Sus scrofa: one gene and its partners. The protein of the gene in region 1 interacts with the protein of each later gene in a biochemical or structural test. Links are inferred from orthologs where the notes say so. Each region holds a gene or a part of one and is shown in the gene's direction. Other genes may lie near its edges.

Evidence for each region. The genes of interacting proteins can lie anywhere in the genome.
Region 2: the proteins of SP1 (region 1) and RARA form a complex in vitro, tested with the Homo sapiens proteins (2 studies listed by BioGRID). The link is inferred for Sus scrofa from reciprocal best matches to the Homo sapiens genes SP1 and RARA.
Region 3: of the proteins of SP1 (region 1) and MAPK3, one has a biochemical effect on the other in vitro, tested with the Homo sapiens proteins (2 studies listed by BioGRID). The link is inferred for Sus scrofa from reciprocal best matches to the Homo sapiens genes SP1 and MAPK3.
Region 4: the proteins of SP1 (region 1) and NFYA form a complex in vitro, tested with the Homo sapiens proteins (2 studies listed by BioGRID). The link is inferred for Sus scrofa from reciprocal best matches to the Homo sapiens genes SP1 and NFYA.

The regions. Positions count from the first base shown.
Region 1 is NC_010447.5:18,586,503-18,592,508, forward strand, and holds the start of SP1 (transcription factor Sp1), read left to right. Parts: upstream 1-2,260; 5' UTR 2,261-2,438; coding exon 2,439-2,445; intron 2,446-2,947; exon of another isoform or gene 2,948-3,349; intron 3,350-3,525; coding exon 3,526-3,680; intron 3,681-4,013; coding exon 4,014-5,529; intron 5,530-6,006. UniProt on the Homo sapiens protein: Transcription factor that can activate or repress transcription in response to physiological and pathological stimuli.
Region 2 is NC_010454.4:22,081,948-22,087,954, reverse strand, and holds the start of RARA (retinoic acid receptor alpha), read left to right. Parts: upstream 1-2,195; 5' UTR 2,196-2,452; intron 2,453-6,007. UniProt on the Homo sapiens protein: Receptor for retinoic acid. Retinoic acid receptors bind as heterodimers to their target response elements in response to their ligands, all-trans or 9-cis retinoic acid, and regulate gene expression in various biological processes.
Region 3 is NC_010445.4:18,295,599-18,301,595, reverse strand, and holds the start of MAPK3 (mitogen-activated protein kinase 3), read left to right. Parts: upstream 1-2,185; 5' UTR 2,186-2,206; coding exon 2,207-2,379; intron 2,380-3,419; coding exon 3,420-3,602; intron 3,603-5,997.
Region 4 is NC_010449.5:36,384,347-36,390,526, forward strand, and holds the start of NFYA (nuclear transcription factor Y subunit alpha), read left to right. Parts: upstream 1-2,368; 5' UTR 2,369-2,483; intron 2,484-2,567; exon of another isoform or gene 2,568-2,859; intron 2,860-3,265; exon of another isoform or gene 3,266-3,987; intron 3,988-4,005; exon of another isoform or gene 4,006-4,029; intron 4,030-6,180. Other genes in the region: OARD1 (O-acetyl-ADP-ribose deacetylase 1), read right to left, coding at 520-664, 1,027-1,065. UniProt on the Homo sapiens protein: Component of the sequence-specific heterotrimeric transcription factor (NF-Y) which specifically recognizes a 5'-CCAAT-3' box motif found in the promoters of its target genes.

The DNA.
Region 1 (6,006 bases):
CTTTTGTCTTTTTGTTGTTGTTGTTGTTGCTATTTCTTGGGCCGCTCCCGTGGCATATGGAGGTTCCCAGGCTAGGGGTTGAATCGGAGCTGTAGCCACCGGCCTACGCCAGAGCCACAGCAACTCGGGATCCGAGCCGCGTCTGCGACCTACACCACAGCTCACGGCAACGCCGGATCGTTAACCCACTGAGCAAGGGCAGGGACCGAACCCACAACCTCATGGTTCCTAGTCGGATTCGTTAACCACTGCGCCACGACGGGAACTCCTTAAGCTCATTTTTATAAATGGTTATACAAGGCATTGTTTTATTGACTTAAGGATTCATAGAAGACTTTTTGTGGGCCTATTCTGGCTTGGAATCTGACACTACATCTCAGCTTGTGATCCTGAACAAGTTACTTCTTAGCCTCCATATCTTCATTTACAAAATACATACTGTCTCTAATACTAACATCTTCCTTAAGAGAATGACATAAGGAATGCCAAGATGCCTAGATGCCCTAGGTACCTAACGCTGTAGGAATTCACCTTTTTTTTTTTTTTTTTTTTTGCTTCTTAGGGCCTAACTTGCTGCACATGGAAGTTCCTAGGCTAGGGGTCAAATCGAAGTTGCAGCTGCCAGCCTAGGCCAAAGCCACAGCAACGTGGGATCCAAGCCATGTCTGTGACTGTACCACAGCTCATGGCAAAGCGCGATCGGATCCTTTACCCACCGAGCGAGGTAGGGAATGAACCCGCGTCCCCATGGCTCCTAGTCAGTTTCATAACCCACTGAGCCACAATGGGAATTCCAACATTCACCTTCTTCAGGCTTTGCCCAAAGCAGTAGAGGCCTCAGTTTTCGGGAATCCATACTTTAAGACATGATAGTAATATGGAGAAGTGCCGAGTTGTAGATAATGAAGTGGCAACATAGAACCTACAAGGGCGAAAGAGAATGGCTTTATGTTATTGACAGGCCACGCAGGCTGCCTCCACCAAAACTAGGGTAAAGGAGAGGCAGAATGAGTAGCCAGAAATTCAGGTGTTTCGGGAAAAATCACCTCTAACCTTTGCAGTTGCAAAAAGCAGGCACTCTATCTGGCTACTTGCTTTATGTTTAAACGTTATTTACAATTACGGGGTAGAGGCAGGGGCGGGGGTGGGGTAGCAGCTTACAGGACCTCGAACTCCAGGAAGTCCTCCAACACTCTTTAGCCTCAAAAGCAAGCTCTCGAAGAGTTAACCGGCCTTAAGTAGCTATCAACTTTGGGGGAATTTAGTAAAATGGCGTTTGCTGGAGTCTCACAAAGACCTTGCAAATTGGTCAGTGCGTTATTAACCTACTGTATGAGCGCCCTCGCCAGATCTCCTTGCGCCAGCACCCACAGGGGTTACACCATATTCTGAGGCATCCGCCTGCCAGTCCGCCCACCGCGGAGGGGGGAGACCTGAGAGGTACTTTTAAAAGCGGTTAAGTGAAGACTCAAACAAGCCCTGATGTCGAGGAAGAAATGCGACGCGCCGCGGGGCTCGGCCCTGACACTTGTTGAATTGCAGGGCTCTGCTGAAGCCTTGCCACCTAATCACGGTAAAGACGTCCCCAGAGGAGGGCCAAAATGGCGACGGACTCCTCTTGGCACAGCCCTGTTACCTCCCCGACAACTGGCGCCTCTAGTAACGCCCATTGGCCAAGCCGGAGGCGGTGCCTGGCTTCCCTCGCTGCCTCATTGGGCTGAGTGACTGAAGCAGCCGCCAATTCTCCCCTGCCTACTCCAGGTTCCCGCCCTCACAGTTTAAGCAGCATTCAATTGGCTTTTATTCACGTCAATTTGTGTCCTAGCGCGTCTCTTTTCAGTGTTAATCCAATCATAATTTTCCTGGCCGCCCGCCTGATTTCTGATTGGTTTTGATAAGCTTCATCCTATCCCATTCCTGTCTACTTTTTACCACCTCCCACCAGGACTTTGCCCAGGCTTGCCCAGGGTTTTGGTTGGTCGCTGTTCTGTCATTCCAATGAAAACCCTTCCTATCCCTACGTCTCAGCGAGCCCGCCTGGCAGTTGACTGGTTTCTCTCCAAGCCTATCATCTCTAAATCCCGCCTATCTTCACTTCCTGCACCTTTCATTGGCTTTTAAAACTGAGAGGGCGCCCTTTTTGGGCGGACACCACGCACGCAACTTTGTCTTACACGCCTTAGAGAGCAAACGAGTCTCGCCATTGGGTAATTTGCCTGTCTTTCTTTTGCAAGTCCCTCCTTTCACCCTCCCTTATTGGGCGGGGCAGCAGTGGAGGGGCGGGGCCTAGGCCGGGCTTGTGGCGCGCTGCTCCCTCCTCTTTACCCCCCCCTCCCTGTCCGGTCCGGGTTCGCTTGCCTCGTCAGCGTCCGCGTTTTTCCTGGCCCCCCCAACCCCCCCGGACAGGACCCCCTTGAGCTCGTCCCTCAGCTGCCACCATGAGCGGTAAGGATGAGTCCACTCCAAGCTTAGGGGTGGGAGGGGAGTGAGGGGGCGCGCGCGAGGGCCGACCGGGCGGTCCCCGCCGTGAGGGGGGCGGGCGGGAGGCGGCGGCGGCGGCCTTGGTCCCGCCCGGGGCGGAGGGAAGGGAGGGAGAAGGGGCAGTGGCGGGGCCTCGGAGGAGGAGGGGGATGGGCCGCCCGCCCCGGGGGAGGGGGCAGCGTGGCCTCGCCCGCCCCCTGCCCGCCCCAGCCACGGGGGACGGGCCTTACCCCCCACTACTCGGCCGCCCGCCTGAGGCTCCTCCTGCCGGGGGCTGGAGCCGCGGGGGCGGCCCGAGCAGTGCAGGCCCCGCCCGGGCCAACCGCCTCCCTGGTCCGCCCTCTGGTCGCCGCCGGCCCCAAGGCCCTCCTCCCCCCACCCCCCGAAGGTTACCCCTCCCCCCCGTAGATTACCCCTCCCCCTACCGTCCCGCCCTTTCCACGCCCCTCACCCCGAAACCGCCCTTTCCTTCTAGGGCCCGCCCTCTGTCCGCCCCGAAACTCCTGATTTCTAACCCCTGGACCTCTTTAGCCCCTTTCTAGTATTCACAAATGTTCCCCCCTACAAAACTTTTTATCTCATCTTTTCTCCTTCCCCTTCCTTTCCTCTTGTGACTTTCTACACTTGAATTCTTCCCTTTCTCCATCTCCTTTGACCCTAATTTGAGCAAGCTTTCCATCCACCCACATGTTTTATGCCTTATCTATATTTCTCCTTTTTTTCCCCGCAGGATACTTTTAAACTCCTTCAACATGTCCACGGACCCTTACATTGTCTATACCAAAAGCACCTTTTCATTGTTTTCTGAGTTTAATTTTGTACGAGGGAGAACTGCGGCCCAGTTTTGGCACCAAGGGGCCCAGTTCAGGTCTTCCTAGCCCTACAGCTGTCTCTTCTTCCCCAATCCTTTTTTGTTTGTTTGTTTAAATACTGGGACTTTCACCTTCCTGTTAGTCATTTTTGTTTGGTCCTAGTCTTCCTTACCCTTCTTCATTTTATCTTTTTTCTTTCCCCAACTTTAAGTTATCTTTTAATTCTTTTTAGACCAAGATCACTCCATGGATGAAATGACAGCTGTGGTGAAGATTGAAAAAGGAGTTGGTGGCAATAATGGGGGCAGTGGTAATGGTGGTGCCTTTTCTCAGGCTCGAAGCAGCAGCACAGGCAGTAGCAGCAGCGGTGGAGGAGGAGGAGGGCAGGTAGGTGATCATCTGGACAGAGTGGGCATCGTGTTGAGAGGATGTAGATATTCTTAGATGATTGTCTTTTCACAAAAAAATTTTTAGGAAAGGGCTAATTTACAGATAGGGAAGTAAGTACAGAGACAAGTGACTTGGAGATCCCCAAAGATGAGAATTTCAAATTTCAGCAGTGTAGATAGGTTGGCTTTTTGTTTGCTTGGGGGGGGCACTGTTTTGCTGTTTATTTATTTATTTTGGGTTTTTTTTACTGTTTATTTTTTTCTACTGCCCCCAGGGCTGGCAGCTGGTGTCACTAAACTAATCTCTTTCCTCTCCCTTATTTTTGGCCAGGAGTCCCAGCCATCCCCTTTGGCTCTGCTGGCAGCAACCTGCAGCAGAATTGAGTCACCCAATGAAAACAGTAACAACTCCCAGGGCCCAGGCCAGTCCGGGAGCACAGGTGAGCTTGACCTCACAGCCACACAGCTCTCCCAGAGTGCCAATGGCTGGCAGATCATCTCTTCCTCCTCTGGGGCTACCCCTACCTCGAAGGAACAAAGTGGCAGCAGTACCAATGGCAACAATGGTGGTGAGTCTTCCAAGAATCGCACTGTCTCTGGTGGGCAGTATGTCGTGGCTGCCACATCCAACCTGCAGAACCAGCAAGTCCTAACAGGACTGCCTGGAGTGATGCCTAATATTCAGTATCAAGTAATCCCACAGTTCCAGACGGTTGATGGGCAACAGCTGCAGTTTGCTGCCACTGGGGCCCAAGTACAGCAGGATGGTTCAGGTCAGATACAGATCATACCAGGTGCAAACCAACAGATCATCACAAATCGAGGAAGTGGAGGCAACATCATTGCTGCTATGCCAAACCTACTCCAGCAGGCTGTCCCCCTCCAAGGCCTAGCTAATAATGTACTCTCAGGACAGACTCAGTATGTGACCAATGTACCAGTGGCCCTGAATGGTAATATTACCTTGCTACCTGTCAACAGCGTTTCTGCAGCTACCTTGACTCCTAGTTCTCAGGCAGTCACGATTAGCAGCTCCGGGTCCCAAGAGAGTGGCTCACAGCCTGTCACCTCCGGGACTGCCATCAGTTCTGCCAGTTTGGTATCATCACAAGCCAGTTCCAGCTCCTTTTTCACCAATGCCAATAGCTACTCAACAACTACTACCACCAGCAACATGGGAATTATGAACTTTACCACCAGCGGATCAACAGGGACCAACTCTCAAGGCCAGACACCACAGAGGGTCAGTGGGCTACAGGGGTCTGATGCTCTGAACATCCAGCAGAACCAGACATCTGGAGGCTCACTGCAAGCAAGTCAGCAAAAAGAGGGAGAGCAAAACCAGCAGACCCAGCAACAACAACAAATTCTTATCCAGCCTCAGTTAGTTCAAGGTGGACAGGCCCTCCAGGCTCTCCAAGCAACGCCATTGTCAGGGCAGACCTTCACAACTCAAGCTATCTCCCAGGAAACCCTCCAGAACCTTCAGCTTCAGGCCGTTCCAAACTCTGGCCCCATCATCATCCGGACACCAACAGTGGGGCCCAATGGACAGGTCAGTTGGCAGACTCTTCAGCTGCAGAACCTCCAAGTTCAGAACCCACAGGCCCAGACAATCACCTTGGCCCCAATGCAGGGTGTTTCCTTGGGGCAGACCAGCAGCAGCAGTACCACCCTTACACCCATTGCCTCAGCTGCCTCCATCCCTGCTGGCACAGTCACTGTGAATGCTGCTCAACTCTCCTCCATGCCTGGCCTCCAGACCATTAACCTCAGTGCATTGGGTGCTTCGGGAATCCAGGTGCACCAGCTTCCAAGCCTGCCCTTGGCTATAGCAAATGCCTCAGGTAAGAGTTCAGATCTTTTGCATTTATTTCCAGAGCTACCTAGCATCTCAGCTGAAACTATTGAGTCTAAAGAACGAAGTAGAACCTTTTGAGGGTAACACTTTCTTGAGGGCAAGTCAGAGAAGTAGCAATGATTTTCTTTAAATCATTTGGAACTGACTTAATGGAAACTTTTCCCCTTCAGTTAATCTGATGAGAAAGGAGCACTTCTAGGCAGTGTCCTTGGAGTCTCTATACTTCCAGTGCTTTTGATGCTCTAGAGCAAGGATTGGCAAACTTTTTCTACAAAGGCCCAGATGGTAAATATTTAAGGCGTTGCGGGCCACTTATAGTCTCAGTTACATGTACTTTTTTGTTTGTTTATAATCCTTTAAAAAGAAGGTAAAGTCATTCTTATCTTGAGGGCTTTACTTGGCCTGAGGGCTCATTCCTGTGGAGAGGAATCGATTATAAACTTAAGGTTGTTAAGTCATCAGG
Region 2 (6,007 bases), on another chromosome or scaffold:
GCACCTATCAGGGCTTTCTCAGATTTCCTCTGGTTTGGAGAGGGATCCCTGCCTTGGGAAACCAGCAGCTCAGGCTCCTCCCCCGGCCCATCTCCTTCTGCCTGCAGGAGGCCCCAGGAAGGAGTGTCTTTTCCAAAGAGTGAGTGGCTTTTCTCCCTCTGCCAGGCAGGAGGCTGCCTCCTGCACTCTTCTCCCCTCCTGCATGAGGGTCTCTGGAGGGTGGGGGGTGGGGACTCTGTAGTGGGCCCAGCACAGCTGGGTGTCCTGGGAGTGCATGTGTACACCTGCGTCTCCGTGTGCACGAGTGTACCTGACCCCGTGTGGCAGGTGTATGTGAAGGCCACCCTTCTTCGTGCGAGGCAGTAGACGTGTTTATGCACACTTGCATTTTTGTGGCCGTGGTGATCCTTCCCCTCTAGCCTCCGCTGGAAAGAAGACAGGTAGAATCTAGGCCAGGAGGAGCCTGTGCGGGGTGGGGTTGGGGGGGCGGGAGCTGACACTGAGTCCCCTCCCAGGCTGGTCCCTCATCTGGCTGGCGCCCCCTGCTGCTGGCTGGACTCAAGCTAGAAGGCCGGGGGAGGGGGGTGTTGGGGGGGAAGGGGTTAAGCATCGGAGTCCACATCTGGGAGCCATTGGCGCATTCCTGCCCGCTGAGCGCATGTTTGCGGATGGATCTGGACGGGACAGGGCGGGCGGGGCTGGGCGGGCGGTTCGCACCGGCGGATGGAAATCCAGACGGGAGCGGGAGACGGCCGGGCCCAGCAGGCGGGAAGAGGCCTGGGGAAGCGCCGCCCTGGGGCGCTCTTCTGCGCCGGGACCTCAGGGCAGAGCGTCTCGCCGACACTGCTTGTCCTACCTAACCAAGGCCGAGGGCCTAAAGCTGGAGAGAGACAGTCAGATACCTCAATCCTAGGCAGGGCCGTGCAGCCGGTGCCGGTGCGATCGTGGGCTACACCCGTGTCCACTCCCAGCCTCGGGTCCCTTGTCTGTAAAGCAGGGGCCGTCGGGCCGATGGGTTTGAGAGCTCTGCCAGTCGGGTCAGGCTGAGAGCCTCCTCACTGGGGTGGACGCCTGAGAGTGTGGCACTTCCCCTTCCAGTGGGAAGTCCTGTGGGGGGCACTTGTGGCCACTTCTCCGACCAGGAAAGGGGAGGGGTGTTCCCTACTGATTCCTCTTCCTCCTCCCCGCCCCCCACCCCAGTAGATGGGGAGATGGTCCTTCCAAATGGAGCCACAGGCTGGGAGGGGAATTGTGGCTCTGCTGGGGGTTGAGGTCTCCGCAGAGAGAATGATTCAGATCCTGCCCCGCTAGAACAAGAACGCGAGCTTTCCTGGCTCCTCAGCCTGGGCCAGGAAAAAGAAGCTGGAGACTGAGTCCCTTGCATGTACGAGTGCTCCTGGGCGCCCCCTACTCGGCTCTTGAAAGATCCACGAGCCGCTGTCCATTGGGGGTAAGGGAACTAGGGATCGCTGAGGGGTACGGTTGGGCCGAAGGTCCTCCGACCCACTCGAGCCGGAGAGGTTATTTGGCGGGAGAGGCGAGGAGGTGTGCCTGAGGGCCGTCTACCTGCTCTGGCACTCCTTTTTTTGCCGGTAAGAAAATTAAGATTCAGAGAAAAGAAAGAGACTTGTTCAAGGTCACACAGCTCTCAGTTCCAAGGGGTTCCTCGAGGAAGATTATAATTATGGGAGTCTAGGGGCTTGACAGCTAGGGGCGGAGTCACTGTATTCACTTCCATATTACGTTGCCGCCTCTCTAACCCCGGCTTAGGTGCCATCAGGGTGTGTGTGTGTGTGTGTGTGTAACCCCGACTTAGGTGCAAGAGGTTGTGTGTGTGTGTGTGTGTGTCTGTGTAACCCCGGCTTAGGTGCAAGAGGTGTGTGTGTGTGAGATACTTGCCCCTGTGAGTGTGGGTGTGTGTGGTCGGAGGGAAGGGAGTGTGATACCACACATTGCCGTCCCTTCTCCACTGAGCCTTCTTTCCGTTCTTCGCGCAGAACTTCTTCGCCTCCTCGCCCTGAGTCTCTCCTTTGGGGGCAGAGGGAGGGATTCTCCCAGATTCCCACGGTCCAGCTTCTGCTAGGCGCGGCTCCTTTAAGACTCACCCTTTCCCTGGGTCTATTAGGGAGAAAGGGGGGCGTGATCTTGTGGGCCCGCCCCTGGATGGTGATTGGTCTGTGGGAGGACGGGGGCGGACCGGAGGTTGAGGGCCTCCCCGCGGCTCGGTACCCTCCGCCCCCCCAGTCTGGGGCTCCGGGTAAAGTTTCAGCCTCCGCACGTGACTCGCCATGGCCGCTGCTTTCGCCCCGCGCCCCTGAGCCGCGGCCCCCCCCAACTGGTCGTCTCCCTGGACCCCGCAACCCCTGACGCGGAGCGGCTCCAAGGCGCAGGGTCAGGGCAGACGCTGTGCCCGCGGGCGACCGGGACGGATTGCGTCCCCCCCCACTGCGAGGTAACCTCTCCCCCCGGGGATTTTGGAGAGCCCCGGGCCCTCGCAGGCATCGTCGCCCCTCGGTCTGCTGCTGATAGGACCCGCGGGGTGGAAGAGACCCAGTGCCGGGCGGGTTCGGACGGCCACCTGGGGTTTCCTGGGCTTCCCAACCCGCCGCCGCCGTGCTCGGGGTGGGGGAGCCCCGTCTGTGAGTCTGTCTGCGCCCGTGTCTTCGCGCGCAGCCGTGAGGCGTCTGGGGCCGTCTGCCGCGCGTGTCTCAGGCGTCCGAGCTGTGGCAGAACCGCCGCTGGGAACTCCTGCTCTCTCTCGCTTTTTCTCTTCACAAACAAACAAAACAAAAAGATTTTCAAACCTGTTTGGGGAGAGATCAGATGCCCAACGGACTAGCCCCCTCCTTCTTTCCCTGCTGTTATCTGAGCCGCCCTGTGGTTTGGGGAGAATCAGCCCGGGGGCCCACCCCATCTGAGGCAGCCAGTTGGGAGGCGGGGCCCATTCAGCTGGTGTCCCCCGTGGAGTGCGGGGAGCCGTCAGAATTGGGTACGGGGAGCCAGTGCAGCCAGGGGAGGGATGTCTCTGGGTTTGTAGGCACCATGGGGTTGTGGAAGCTTGTGGGGGTATGAGAAGGATGGAATAGATTGGTTGTCTTGGTTCTGCCCAGGGTGTCTGGGACCTGGTGCCACCCACGAGGTGGAGAAGCTGCTAGCCAGATGTGTATGTGGGAGGGGGAAGCTGGAAAATCTGCTTGGCAGTGCCCTTTCTCCTCTCCGGGCATGGCCCTGTTGTCGGGTTGCTCTGGGGGAAGGGGGCCGTGCACTAGGCTGGAGATGAGAACCAGCTCATGTGGAAATCATACAAGAAAAGCCCCCAGTCTTGGAGACACTTGTCCACTGTCCAGCCTACCTTGGATAGCATGCCTTTGTGCTGGCGTGGAGGGGTACCCTGGGCCTCCACCAACTGCCAGCTCCCTCTTCTGTAACCAGATTGCCTTCTGCCTGGGAGACGTGTGCACATGTGTGCCTGTGTGCCTGTGTACCGTGTATGTTGTACCGTGTATGTTCTCAGGGGCCTTGTTCCTGAAAACACTCCCCCACCCCACCCCCACCCCCTGCTTCTTACCCCCAACCCTCACTTCTGCTCCTGACCGCCATCCTCCTCCAGTTTCCTGGTTAGGCGATTCAGTGAAGTCTCTTGTCCGCTTCCCTGGCTGCCTGGCTGCCGTGGTCATGGGCCGGGGTGTTTGGGGGGAAGTGGTTCAGGAAGGACACCAAGTCTTGCTAGGAAATGGGCTCAAGCCCCAGATTCTCCTCCACGGCCTTGTGCTTGATGGGGAGGCTGGGCCGGGGAAGCCCCAGGTGGCAGTGGGGGTGGCTTGGAGCATTGGGGCTTCCCCTGGGAGGGGTGGAGATGAGTCTGGGGGAGGGAACCAGAGAAAGAGTATTTGGAGCAGGAGGGAGCAGGAGGGTGGTGGTTGTGGAGTCAGGGAGTTTGTGGCTTTGAAAGATGTTGGTGCACTGGGAGGGGCGGCGAGGACCTGAGTTCTTCCTGAGTGTCTGGGCCATGTTGGTTCTGAAACAGAGCAGTCACCGTCACTGGGGTCAGACTTTCGTAGGCCTTGGGAGCTCGGGATCTTGGATTTGGAGGGACTTTGAGGGCATGAATAAATGCCCATGAGGTGGTCACCTCAGGACATTCCCTGCCAGACTGGCGAGGGTGAGACAGATGCAGTGGCAGTGCTGAGAAGAACCTGGGCTTGGAACGGCTTAATCCTGGCCACCTCCTCTTATAGCCCCTAAATCCCCATCCTTCTTGTTGACCCTAAATGCCCCTGCCTCCATCTGGGAAACCTCTCTGGACCCCCTCCTACTTGCAGCCATGTGGCAGCCTGGCAGGAAGCTAGCTGTGGGCAGCCCCATCCTGATCACCCCCATGCCTCCCCCGCCGGGCACAGTCACCCACATGTGCCATGACGTGGTTCCTGCCACCCTGTCTATTGTGGGGGAAAGGGCCTTGTCTGCATGGCCCTTCCGGTCTGTTTTGAGGGCATTGACCCAGACCCCAGTTAACTAGCTCCCCTTCCCCTAAATCCTTTGGTCTTGGAAGCTGGACCCCTTCCCCCGCAACTTCTTGCTCAGATCTGAGGGTCTTAGGTGGCGTGGTCCTCAGAACTCTGTGACAGGCTGGGGACTGCCCACAGGTAAAACCTCAGCGTCCAGTTCCCTGTCCTCTGCGTGGCCTGAGCAGGGCAGGACCTAGACGGTGCTGCATGGGTGGGTGTGTTTGGGACTCTGCCGGGTCCATTTAGGAGCACTCTCGGTCCATTTAGGAGCACTCTCGGGGACTGGGGAAGGTCGTGCTGTCCCCGTGAAGAGTAAATGGAGCAAGCAGCACTCGCCCAGCACCCCACGCCCTTGCTGGTAGTGGTGGTTTGGGGAGTGTGGGAAGTTGGCAGGGCCCCTGGCAAGACAGCCAGGATTGTCTTGACTTACTGGGTTTTTGGGAAAAGAGCGTGGCCAATGATACCCTGGTTCCCAGGGCTTTGGCTACCCGTCCTCTCGGCCGCCTGCTGTCTTTCCTCCCTCTGTTCCCCTCTCCACCCTCTGGCTGCTGTGTGGAGCCCACAGGGCTTGTGGGGGGATGTGGGGTTGGGGCGAGGGCCCAGATCTCCTTGTGTGTCCAGGGAGTGTTCTGGGGATTGGCTGGATTGGCAGAGGGAGTCTGGGTGTCCTTGCAGGGTGGTTGGCATGGGGGGACCAGGCCCAGAGTGTGAGAATGTGTCAGTGTCGGTGTGTCTGTCCCGTCTGGCTTGGGTGTGGGTGTCTCTGGCTCCGTCTGGATCTGGCCTCCCGCTCCAGTCCCCGCCCCCACCCCCCCCAGCTGGGCCCGCCTGCTTGAGTTCTCTCTCCGCAACTGGAGCCTCCCTGGCCTGTTCCTGGAATTTGGAGAGGAGGAGGAGGAAGAGGCAGGCAGACAGACCTCCCACACTCTAGCCCGCCTGCCTGGCATCGTGGGGAAATGAAATAGGTGCCTTGGAACTAAGGTTTTGCCTTCCCCAGACCCTCCAACACACATTGCAGAGTCCACAGGCCCAGGTCTTACAGAAGGGGCCTGGGCTGCCCACCTTCCACCCCACCCCCGCCAGCATCCTGCCCCCCAGGGCCCCCTGCCGGGACCTCCAGGCACCAGTGTCAGCCTGGGGAGCCGGTGGGGGATTAGACTGCTGCCAGCCTGACCAGCACCTGTTGCCAACCCCCAGCCCTGTAACTGGAGCTGGCCAGGGAGGGGGGCTGCAAAATGACAGGTGGAATTTCTGCAACCAGGCAACCCCCCACCCACTGGATATGCCTTTCCCTTCCGCCCCGGAACAAGGAAAGCCTGCCCCCCCCCAAGTGTCAACCTGATCTCCCGGATGATGTCCCTATCCCGACTGTGGGGGCAGGGCCTGGGAGATGGGCAAGGGGACGAGTTTACTGCTATTTGCCTAGAACGACCCCCCCCCACCTCCATCACTGACTGCGGAACTGGGCCGCCCCTGTTCAAGTTTCCTGAGCACTGCTG
Region 3 (5,997 bases), on another chromosome or scaffold:
AACCCACTGAGTGAGGCCAGGGATCAAACCTGTATCCTGGTGAGTACTAGTCGGGTTTTTATCCCACTGAGCCACAAGGGAAACTCCCAATTCACCCTATACAGTAAGCTTTTATCAGCCCCAGTGCCTAGCTCACAATGCCATTCAATAGCTTATCAAAAATTTTTTGATCTGCAGTTCCTGTCATGGCTCAATGGTTAATGAATCTGACTGGCACCCATGAGAACGCAGGTTTGATTCCTGGCCTTGCTCAGTGGGTTAAGGATCCAGCGCTGCCATGAGCCTTGGCGTAGGTCATGGTGGCGGCTCAGATCCTGCGTCGCTGTGGCTATGGTGTAGGCCGGCAGATACAGCTCTGATTCAATCCCTAGCCTGGGAACCTTCATGTGCTACCAGTGTTGTCCTAAAAAGCAAAAAAAAAAAAAAAAAAAAAAAAAAAGATCTAATTAGTATCTTGAAATTTCATTGACTTGGGGGCTATTGGTGACCAGTGACTCGGTCTTATTAATCTGAATCAAGTGCCTGGTGGTATATCTAATGGTGACCAATTTCAGAATCATAATTACTGTTCCATTTTGTCTCGATCTTTAAGGCATACAAGGACCAGTTTCTAAGGGAGACCAAAAAAAACGTGATTACTTACTAAAGCCGAGGAGATGTGTTTTTGTGAAACTCCCAGCTCATATTTTCATTGTGAAGTAAGGGAGATGGACTGGGTGGGCCCTCTCTCCAGTTTTTTAGCAGACTCTGATTCTGGGAAACAGAATGGAATTAAAAAGAGCCTCTGCTTCTCTGTCAGAAGACACCATGTTGAGTCTCAGCTCCCCAACTCCAGATTTCCTGTTCTGTAAAACTTGATTCATCCATTAATTTTTTTTTTTTTGAGTGTCTGAGGGTCGAGGATTCAGCCATGAACAAGAAAGACATGGCCCCTGCCTACCCAGTTAAGAAAGGCAGATGAGAAGTTCCCGTCGTGTCACAGTGGTTAACAAATCTGACCAGAGCCATGAGGTTGTGGGTTCGATCCCTGGCCTTGCTCAGTGGGTTAAGGATCCAGTGTTGCCCTGAGCTGTGGTGTAGGTCACAGACACGGCTCAGATCTGGCGTGTCTGTGGCTGTGGTGTAGGCCGGCAGCTGTAGCTCCAATTGGACCCCTAGCCTGGGAACCTCTATATGCCGTGGGTGTGGCCCTGAAAAGCAAAAAGAAAAAAAAGAAAGAAAAGCAGTTGACGTTTATATTGTGGGATTGTTCTAATGAAGCGACTAGAGTGGGCCAAGTATTAAGTATATGTTCAAGTCTCATACAGAATCAAAATATGATGATCTTAACAGGATTCCAATTTTTGCCAAATCCAATGACAGAAAAAAAGTTACCCGTCTTGCTATATTTGGGCAAAGCCTGATCGTGTCAACCTTGCATGCAGCTCTCTGGACTCTCCCCCCCTTTCCCTGTAAAGGAAGCATGGGATCATCAATGATATGATCCTGGGGATACCAGTACCGCCTGGGTGCTGAGGCCAGGTCCCTAGCCCACTCTGGCAGGCCTCCAGTCAAAAGCCATTAGGCTGGGAGTCCGGACACCTGGGCTTTCCAGATCTCAAGTTGTCTGCGCGATTCCAAAGGACCTTGCGCTGCTCAGCCTTCAGTTTCCTCATTTGTGAAAGGCAGGCTACCTCTAGGAGAAAGCCATCTCCCACCGCTTTTGTGAAATATGCATGGGATCACTTAGCATCGGGCCGGGCTCAGGGAGGCCAAACGCCAGAGGGCTGGTGAGGGTCCCCTAAGGTTCCATCTGGAGCCGGACCACTCAGCCGGGCTGAGTGGGGCTGGCAAAAGCAGCGGGGACCAGGCGGCCCAGTCTTGGCCCCTCATCCCAGCCCTTGTTTGGTGGCTCTGGGTGAGGTCACTGGGGCGGCCCTACTGGCTGTTCTGCATTGGAGGGGGGGAGTGGGGTTCTGGACCGTCTCAGACGGCCCTGGGGAGCTTCTAGATTGACCGAGTAGACGGAGCCCACAAGTGCCAGGGACCATGGCATCCGTGCCCAGAAAGCTGGGCGCCGCTGCGGGGGGGTGGGGGTCACGTGACGGGCGCGGGGGCGGGCGGGGGCGGGGTCTGGCGCGCGCGCGGCTCCGCGGGTGACAGGGCGGGCGGGAAGGGGCGGGGCCGCCGGGGGGGGAGGCGGGCGGGCGGGAGGGGAGGAGTGGAGATGGCGGCGGCGGCGGCGGCTCAGGGGGGCGGGGGCGGGGAGCCCCGGGGAGCCGATGGGGTCGGCCCTGGGGTCCCGGGGGAAGTGGAGATAGTAAAGGGGCAGCCGTTCGACGTGGGCCCGCGCTACACGCAGCTGCAATACATCGGCGAGGGCGCGTACGGCATGGTCAGGTGAGGGGCGTTCCAGGGGAGGGGGCGTCTTAGAGGAGGGCGATCCCAGGGAGGGGTGCTGAGAGCTCTCTAAGGCCTTGGGGTCTCTGAGCATCGTGAAGCCGCAGGGGCTTCGGGAGGCTGGAGAGCGCCCCAGGGAGAGGGCCTTGGAGTGCTTTCTGGGGGAGGGGGCGCTGCCTACGATCTAAGAAGAGGGGGGCTTGGGGGGTTTTGAGGGGAACCTTCTCTAATGAAGGGAAGGGCCTCTAGGTGGGGGAGCTGTGGGGACCTTGGGCAGTCTATAGCCACAGGGCGAAGAGAAGAGAATAAGTCTTCTGGGGGAGGTCATATCCTTGGTGAAAACGGCAGGAAGGACCCTTCCCAGGGAAAGGGCGCCTGGGATCTGCCCCCCGGGAGTCGAATCTAGGAGTTTGGGAGAGAAGAGCAGAGCTCAGGGCTGGACAGGGTGGGGCAGGGCTTTGGGCCTGGGGCCAGGGACCCAGTGAGCAATGAGGGGGTCCCGGAGTGCCTTCTTGCAACTTTCAGGAGGGCTCTGTGAGTTCTCCCAGCCCCACTGGGGGCCCTGGGCCTTTGTTCATCAGGGATTAGCTCTGCTGCCCGGGAACCTCCCCCTGACACCCGCCCCTGCTGCATCCCTTCTCTCCCATCCCTCCTTCTTCCTGGATTCGCCTCCCTGTATGTCCCTCACACCTCCCGCCCCTGGCCCTGTCTTGGGTAGAGGGAGCCCATCCGGGGAAGGGGAGGATGAGGGGTGAGGGCCACTAGAATGGAAAGGGTTGAGGAGAAGGGAAGTCAGCGATCGGTCAGTCCCTTCCTCTGTTTGTGAAGTCACTGAAGGGCTGCCTGGCTGGTCCCCAGCTTTCTCCCTGGAGATCCCAGGCCTTCACAGCAGGAAGGAACCAGCATTGTTTATGACTGGCTCTGGCCAGTCTCTCCTGCTCCCTCCCCTCCCTGCCAAGGCCTGGGTGGGGCCCGCCGCCGGGCCTGGACTCCCCCCGCTTGGTAAGGCCACACCACCAACATCTCTCCGGCCCTCTCAGCTCAGCTTACGACCATGTGCGCAAGACTCGAGTGGCCATCAAGAAAATCAGCCCTTTTGAGCATCAGACCTACTGCCAGCGGACCTTGCGAGAGATCCAGATCTTGCTACGCTTCCGCCACGAGAACGTCATTGGCATCCGAGACATTCTGCGGGCACCCACCCTGGAAGCCATGAGGGATGTGTATCCTTCACCTTGGCCAGACGGCTGGCCGGGCACAGCTTCAGAGCTGGGCTGGGAGAATGTTGGCTTGCTTTCTGTTTCCTTCTTCCCTACCACCCTTCCAGACAACCCCAGTTCAACAGACTTTCCAGCAGAAAGAGGCCACAAGGTGTACGAGGACCGGCCAGGCCGTGTGGCCTTGGGCAAGTCTGTTCTCTAAGCTCTGCCCCAGGAGGGGGCTGGGGAAGATGGTGTCTATGGGAGCTTTGTCTTGTGACATCTGCCGTCCTGTGACGTGACCCAGCCTCTGCCCACAGTCAGTTCTTTTGTTTAACAGAGGGCGATTCTTTCTTGCCTGGGTCCTCGGACTCGAAGGAAGAAAAGTGCCCCCTTTTTGAGGGCCTACTATGAGTCTGGGTGCATTGTGCACCGAGTGCGTCGACATTTCTTAATCTGACCCCCAGCTGCCCTCTGCGCTGGGGCTCATCAGCCCCATTTCAAAGAGGAGGAGACTGAGGCTCAGAAAGGCCAACGTCAGGTGCCTGTGGCTGCCTCCACCCTTCCCCCAGATGAGAACCTGTCCTCCTGTCTCTGGGACTTCCCGCTTAGATCCCCACCCTGATCCCCCGTGGACTTGCACCTTGCCCAGGGAGGGTCAGCCTTGCCTTCGTTGCCCTCCCCCCATTGCCACTTTCCTAGCTTGTTGTCCACTTCCTGCCTGGCACTGTTAGCAGCTCGTAACACCCATTGCCTCTCCCCTACCCCACCCCCCAGTCCCAGTCCTCCACCCAAGAGTGGGGATTTGTACTGCAGTGTCTGCAGCCCCCACCACAAAGTGTGGGCAGGAAATCTCCATGCTTACCCCCAGCTTCCCGTGTGACCTTAACCAAGTCACTGCACCTTGCTGGGCTTCCTTATCTTTAAAACAGGGGAAGTTGCCGTCGTGGCTCGGCGGTAACAAACTCCACCAGTATCCAGGAGGATGCGAGTTCGATCCCCTGCCTCAGTGGGTTGGGGATCCAGCATTGTCATGAGCTGTGGTGTAGGTCGCAGACTCGGCTCGGATCCCGCGTGGTTGTGGCTGTGGCTGTGGCATGGGCTGGCAGCTGCAGCTCCCATTCTTCCCCTGGCCTGGGAACTTCCATATGCTGCAGGTGTGGCCCTAAAAAGCAGAAAGAAAAAACAACAACAAACAACGCAGCAGGGTTGGTCCGGATGTTCTCAGAAGGCCCTTTTGAGGCCGATTCTGACAGTCCTAATTTATTCTTCCAGAAACAAGTCATGTGACATTTCTTTATGTTTAATCTGTTTTATCTTAGGATCTAAAAGGACTCATATACCCCTCGATCTTCGGGTGTATGGCCAAGCACCCTGAGTAGGAGCCTGCTGTTGGGGGTTTCTCCTCATTTGTCTTGCACAAACCATGCCCAGAAGGCAGGCATTTATTTTTAAGCAAACATGTATTGCATGCCAGATGGTGTTCATACAGTATCTCATTTAACCTTCTCAACAGCCGTGCGGCTCAGGCTTTTATAACAGCCATACTAGTTTATGTTTGCCAAGCACTTAAAACATGCCTGGCGCTGGCTGGTGCTCCACGTGGATCATCTCAGCTTATCTCTACAACCCTCTCTAAAGAACAATTCCTTTTTTGTTTGTTTATTTGTTTTTTGGCCACACCAGTGGCGTGTGGAAGTTCCCAAAGCAGGGATCGACTCCAAGCCACAGCTGCAACCCACATGGCACCTGGGGTGACCCTGGTCCTTAACCTGCTGTGCCACAGCGGGAACTCCTCTAAAGAAGAGTTCTTTTCCCTACTTTACAGATGCGGAAATAGAGGCATAGATGGTCAAGGTCATAAGACCCATTAGCAGTGGAGGAGGGATTGAGATGCTGGCAGGTGACCTCCAGAGCTGATGCTCTTTTTTTTTTTGCATTTTAGGGCCGCACCCACAGCATATCAAGGTTCCCGGCCCAGGGGTCGAATCAGAGCTGCAGCTGCCGGCCACAGCCCACGGTAATGCCACATCTGAGCTGCATCTTCAACCTACACCACAGCTCACGGCAATGCCAGATCCTTAACCCACTGAGGCGAAGCCAGGGATTGAACCCGCATCCTCATGGATCCAGGTCGGGTTCCTTAACCACTGAGCCACAAAGGGAACTCCCCAGAGCTATTGTTCTTAACTGTGACGCTCTCCTGCCTCCCGCAGTGTATTGTCCTCCCTTTCCCAGTAGGGAAACGGAAGCCACGTAACTGAAGTGCTTTGCTCAGGGGTCACCAGCTGAGCGCCAGCAGAGGTCTTGAGCCCACCTGCTGAGTATGAGCCTTGCTCATATAAGCTGGCAGGTCTTTAAGTTAGGGTTAGGGTTAGGGTTAGCTGGCAGGTCTTTAAGTCCCAGGGGCATCAGCTGG
Region 4 (6,180 bases), on another chromosome or scaffold:
TTTTAAAGACTGGCATCAGAATCACCAGCGGAGACTCGGATTCAGTAAGCCTGGACTGTGGTCTAAGCAACTGTTTCAGAAGCTCCACAAGTGATTCTAATACACATGTCTGGTTTAAAATCATTGGTAGAAAGTGATGGAAGGGATCTGTAAGGAACTTTCTAGACTCCTCTTTGAAGAATAAGTACAATACGGGTAAAGAAGATCTTGAGTGCCAAATTAATACCCATGGACTTGGTTAAAGCACTTCAGTTATGAAAGGTTTCAGAGAAGCAGTTATTATCAAGACAGATTTAGGAAGAAATTAAAGACTTTTACAAAAACTCAGATTTGGTAGGAAAAGGATCCAAACTAGAGGCCGTTTTTTTATGAAGAAAAACCTAATCTTCACGGTTAAAAGGACTCAGTGGTTTGGAATCCCACCCATACGGGTATATCTTGTTTCATAATCAAGTACAACAGGAGGTCAAAAGATGCTCTAGCCAGGGCAGATGAGTTGGAGCTCTTCTCAGAACTCACGTTGACTTAACAGTTCCTGCACCCCTCCAAATTTCTTCTTGAAGAGGACAGCTATCCCAGCGCCCATTCGACAATCCTCACTGATGCAGTGCGCTAAAGAGTCTGTCTTGGGGCATGCGAAAAGGTCTCCTTTCACATAAGTAATCTAAAATGTGCAAAGGGAAAGAAAATGTTTTATTAGATACCAAAAAAAAAGACGAAGCTACAGAAAAAGACTAAGCTATTTATTTTCCTTTACTGTGCCCACCACCACTTCTCCCCGCTTCCTCCTTTTGATTTAGTGACAAATCCTCAGAATTGAAAAAATTATCTAAAGCGAATTAAAGCATGTGTAAAACAAAGTGATGAGCGGCCTCTGCCTAGGATTTTATTGGCCTTTCTAAAGGAAATCAACAGAAGAGAGAAAAAAAGACAATTCAATTATTGGTTTAATTAAAAAGTGTTTATGCTTTTGACCTCAATTACTCTGAATTTCAGTTCACCAATAAGTTAATAGTTGTTACGCACTCTGCTTCCTTCTGAATCTTCATTAGGGCTGCCGGCCATGATAGAGTCGCTATTTCCAGAATTTAAGTGTTTCTTCAGCTATAAGAAGGGGAAAGGAAGTGAAAATGCTTAGGCAACCTGAATATATTACATTCAGACTGCCCCGACCACCCACTTACTAACTTTTCTGCCCCCCACCTATCGCTGAATGGGAGTTCGTTCAGCCTTCAAAAAGTAATGCAAAACTCTTCTGGGCAAGAAAGAGAAGCGGACGCCTGGGTTGGGGGGCGGCAGGGCTCCGCTCCCGTTTCGCGCTTTCCAGGAGAGAAAGGCGGCCCGAAGACACGCCTCCTCCTCTCCCCAAGCCAGCGCGGAGCAAGGCGGATTCGCAGTCTCCTTTTCGGTGCACGATCCAAAAGTATTTCCGCATTGGGTGTGGCCCAGAAGCAAAAAGGTGGGCCAAGGCTACGGTCCCGTTAAGCCGCAACAAGGGAGCAAACGGGACGGGGGCGGGGGCGGGCGTGTATACAGCGGGAGCGAGCACGAGAAAACAGAAGGCGGCCTCTCAAGGAAAGCTCCCCCCTATCTTTGGGGGGAAACGGGGGAAGTTTAGAGAAGCCTCCCATTCTCTCTCCTACCCTGGGGCGGATCAGCGAGGCCAAATGGCCTGTCCGGGGTCCCGTGGGAGGGAGCGGGGAGCCTCGTTCAAAGCTCCAACGTACCAGGTACCCTTCACCTGGAAAGGAGTCCGCCGTTAGGAGGTCCCGCCCCGCGGGGAAGGGCTCTGGTAGGTGGGGACCAGCGGACTAGTCCGCTTGTAGAGCCAATCCCACCACAGTCCTTAATTGCACGCACCTAAAATGGCCGCCCACCACCCGGGAGTGGGGCGGAAACGAGCCCTTCTAGCTAGCTAGCCGGACCTGCACTCTTTGGTGCTGGTCGCCGAACTTCCGGCGGTAAACTCCGTAGAGTATCCCGCCGCCGCCCGGGCATGCGTAACGAGATAGCGGCCGCGAGTTGGATAGAGCGGCGCTTGCGCATTAGTCCCAGGGGTGTGTCTCCAGAGGCCGCATAGAAGGGGTGGGCAGTTGGCAAAGGAATTGGTTAGCGCCTGCGTGGTCCTGTGCTCAGGGCGGTGTTTTGAGTTGAAGGGTCCGGCGCGTCAAGAGAGCGCCTGCGTATTCCTTCGGCCGGGGGAGGAATCTAATTAGGGAAGTGGGCGTGGCTTCATCGTACGCCTGCGCAGTGCTCTCTCAACGGGGATGGGGCGAGCCCAGAGCTCGGGTTAGGGGGCGTGGTCTCAGAGGCGCCTGCGCGGAGGCAGTTGGAGGGAGGCCCGATTCCCCTTTGTTCGGCTTCGCCATTTTGCGAGGCAGCGGCAGTGGCGGCGGCAGCGGCGGCTGGAGCCTCTGATTGGGTTTCGGGGTCCGGTACTGGAGCCAATCAGCGCGGGCAGCGAACCGGGGGAGCGAGGCACGGTGAGTGTGAGGAGCCAATATCCAGCGGCCCAGAGCCGGCCCCAGCGCCCCGATTGGCGGGTCTCGCTGACCACTCAGGAGAGGCCCAGGCTCCCGTCGAGCCCGGGGAGTCGAGCTGAGCCTAACCGAGCGGGGCTGCTGGCGGCCTCGGCTTGGAGCCTGCAAGCGCTCCGGGGTACTCCCTGCCGAGGCCTGCAGAGGGCTGCCCCGCGCAGGGATGGCGCTCTCGGGAGCAGGCACCTTGGGGTCCAGCCCTTTGCAGGGTGTCAGGGCCAGTTGGCCATGCGTCCCGGTTGTTTCTACCCTTAGGCCTAGGTTCTCAAGCTCCAGGCCCGGGGGTGGCGGGTTTGACTGCCACGAAGGCCCCCACGCTCAGGTATACACACAGACACACACACGCGCGCCCGGGCCTCGGCGGTTTTCTCCTGGTCGTTCGGCCTCACTCTTTAGCCTGCCCTAGCACTCACCACGCTCTAGCCCTGGAAGGGAAATCACTCCCCGCGGGGCCCGCGCACCCCACTTCTCCGTAAGCGGGTCTGGGTATCTCAGTCCTCTTGAGTCGGGAGGGAGACCCAGGGAGGACGCGCGCCCCGGCCACGGGGCCTTGCGTGCGGCGCGGAGAGGGGGGGGCCGGCCCGCCCCCGCCGTCCCTTTGATCCGTTAGTGCGCCCACTCCCCGGTCTGGCTGCGCCCCTCCTCCCAGCTCGGCCCGGGTCTCCAGCCAGGCGCCGTTACCACCCACTTTAGGCTCGTCATTTCCTCTCCTCCCCGCCCGGATCTCCGGGGCAGAACCGCACACCTCCGTCTTGGAGCCCAACCAAGCAGTCTGCCTTTCTTGCCCGGGCTGTAAGGCCTGTCCATTCGGCGCCTGGAACTTCAGTCTTCGAAGATTGCGAGCCCTGTGCATTCTTTTTCCCGGAAGCTGCACAACTTGTTTTTATATCACTGGCATTTTTTCTTGTTGCTTGGTCTTGTGAACTCTCGCTCCCTTAGGAACGTAGTACAGTCCTTTTTCTTTCACCTCTCTGTGTCGCTTTGAATGTATCAGGCTTCACTCATTAGCTCAGTCCACAACCATCCCTTGGTTTGATTTTTTGCTAGTATGTTGACGTTTTCTCAGTTGGTGTTAATAGAAACTTAATGGTCTTGTGGGATTTTCGTTAGGGTGAGAGAAAATCTCTGTTGACAGCCGAGCATGGAGCAGTTGGTGTGTACCAAGCATCCATGTATGTGCTGAGAGGAGAGTGGGTAAGGAGGTCGATAGGAACCTCCCCAGCCTGGTGGAGATTGACAGGTGACCAAGTAATTAATACTTTACGGTTTTGTGCTGTAACCGGACCAAGTTCAGTTCCGTGGTCAACTGACGTGTTGAGCTACCAACAGCCTCGGAGGGCTCTGCATTGCCACTCTTTGGACTGGCAAGGATGATGGGATTTCTTCGGACGATAAGAAATGGAAGAGCATTGCTCATAAAGAAGCACGTGCCAACGCTCCAAACTTTGCTGTATGTTGGAGGGGGAAGAGTTTATGCTGGAAAGCCCATTTGGTAAAAACAAACAAACAAACCAAAAAAACGCTTGTATATCTTGCCAGGGAATTTTTCAGAAGCAGTTATTTTGTGGCGATCCAGACAGGAGAAATCCAGGAGCATTTTTAACTCCCTAGGATTGGAGAAATAAGTTTCTGGCTTATGGGGTTCTGCTCCACAGCAGTGGCTGATGTTGATGGAAGAAAGGGAGATTTCCTTTCCAGGACTTGAGAAGCATGTAGCACAGCAGTGCTTGCCACATAGAGTAGGCTGTGTATGGTGCCCATTTTTATAATCTCATGTGCAGGTCATCCAACTGGTAGGTTTCAGAAAGCTAACCCAGTACTGTCTCCACTGCTAAAAATTTGGGGACAGGTTTTGTTTTCACTTTCTGGAATGAGTTTTTGATTGTTTAAATCATTTAAAAAATTTATTTAATTCTTAAAATAACTATTAATAGATGGTGTACTATGGCTTAGATTTTAGAACACATACATTGGCCTTTGGACTAGATAGATACCCTGGTACTTAAAAATGGTTATAGCTGGTCACTTTAAAACCAGCAACTATTTTTGCTGAACTTCTTTAAGAGACACTTAGGCTCTGATCATTGTAGACCACTCTGGAGACTCCACTTGCCCGCAGAACTTTCTTTGCCTGGAATTTCGAGAGACAGTAATCTGGCCTTTAGCTTTCTCTCAACATGTGGCCTTTTAGTCTGCTGTTCATATGTGGAAACTTCTCTGCCCTTCATGCTGTCTTCATTTGGAGTACTCCATTCCCCTCCACCCCAATCACATGGACAAAGCCTTCTCATGCTTAAGACAGATCAGATGTCATGTTTTTCTAAAGCCTTCTTATCTACCCCAGTTGGAAGAATTCTGTCATCCAAACTTCATATTGCTTTGTTTCTCTCTCAGGGGTTCATTACAGACTTTTACTTTTTACTAAGTTTAAAGACTCTTTGAAGTTAGAATTTTCGTCAGAGTTTTCCTTTTATTTCTAAAACCTTCAGGACAGTGTCTGATAGGTGGTACATCACCTATCACCTAGTGGAGATTAAGGAGCAAATTAGGAACTGCAGTCCAGAAGCCTTTTGAATGATGGGGAAGCAGAACAATTCTTTGATTTTTAGCCTTTTATCAAACAGATCAGGACCTGTTTTGTTGAGTTGTGAAGTCAATTTAGTGGGCCAGTGCTGGTAATATTTTTACGATAGACTGGAAAATGTTACAGTGCATCTTATGTTACACTTCTAAGTCCTGACTGAGACTTTTCATTTTACTTAATATGTTGCATGTGCATTTGTGATATGAAACTTGTTTCTTGTTTCTTACTGAGCCTTGTCAAAATTTGAAAGCTACTGTTCTGGTCTACCTGGTAGTGGTTGTCAAATATGGTAATTCACTTACTTATGGCTGGGTTGGTTGGATTTCTGAGCCTTAGCTTTAAAATGTGTGTGGGTCCACACTGAATGGGTTTCTAAGTAGTTAGCTACATTTCAGGTTCTGCACCTTGAAGTAGGAGAAAGAAATTTTCTTGCTAACCAGAATAAACACACACACACACACACACACACACACACACACACACACACACACTTTTTCTCTTTGAGGAAAAAAACTTTGGGTTAGGAGCCACAGCTAGACAGACTAAATCCTGCTGACTTAATTCTTCCATAATCTTGGGCAGAGAAGCACTTGAGGAGAGATGATGTCAGATTATGTTGCAGTTCTCCGAACTGAAGTTTACAATAGAGTCCGCCGGTTGCATACAGCTTTCACCATTAGCAGTGGCAGTATCATGCTCCCAGCTGAATCCGTCCCTCCTTTAATGTGACAGAGAATTGCTGTTAGGTTTGGAGCTGATTCATTTTTTGACCCTTTAAAATACAATGGATTTATGTTTTTAAATTGAAGCATTTGTATTACCAGGATAAACTAAGAAGAAAATCTGCATGACATTTTATTAGTCATTTCCCTGAGGTTCCAGAAAAATGTAAATTCCTGGAAATTAGTGATCAAGGAAAAAAGAAATTGATACAGGAAGGGGATTTGGCAGGAGTGGGGGTGGGAGGATGTTGAAAAATAGGACATTCCTTCCTGACCTTTATTTTTAAAAATCAGCTCTGTTGATGTATAGTTTTAAGTGTACATTTTGATAAATTTT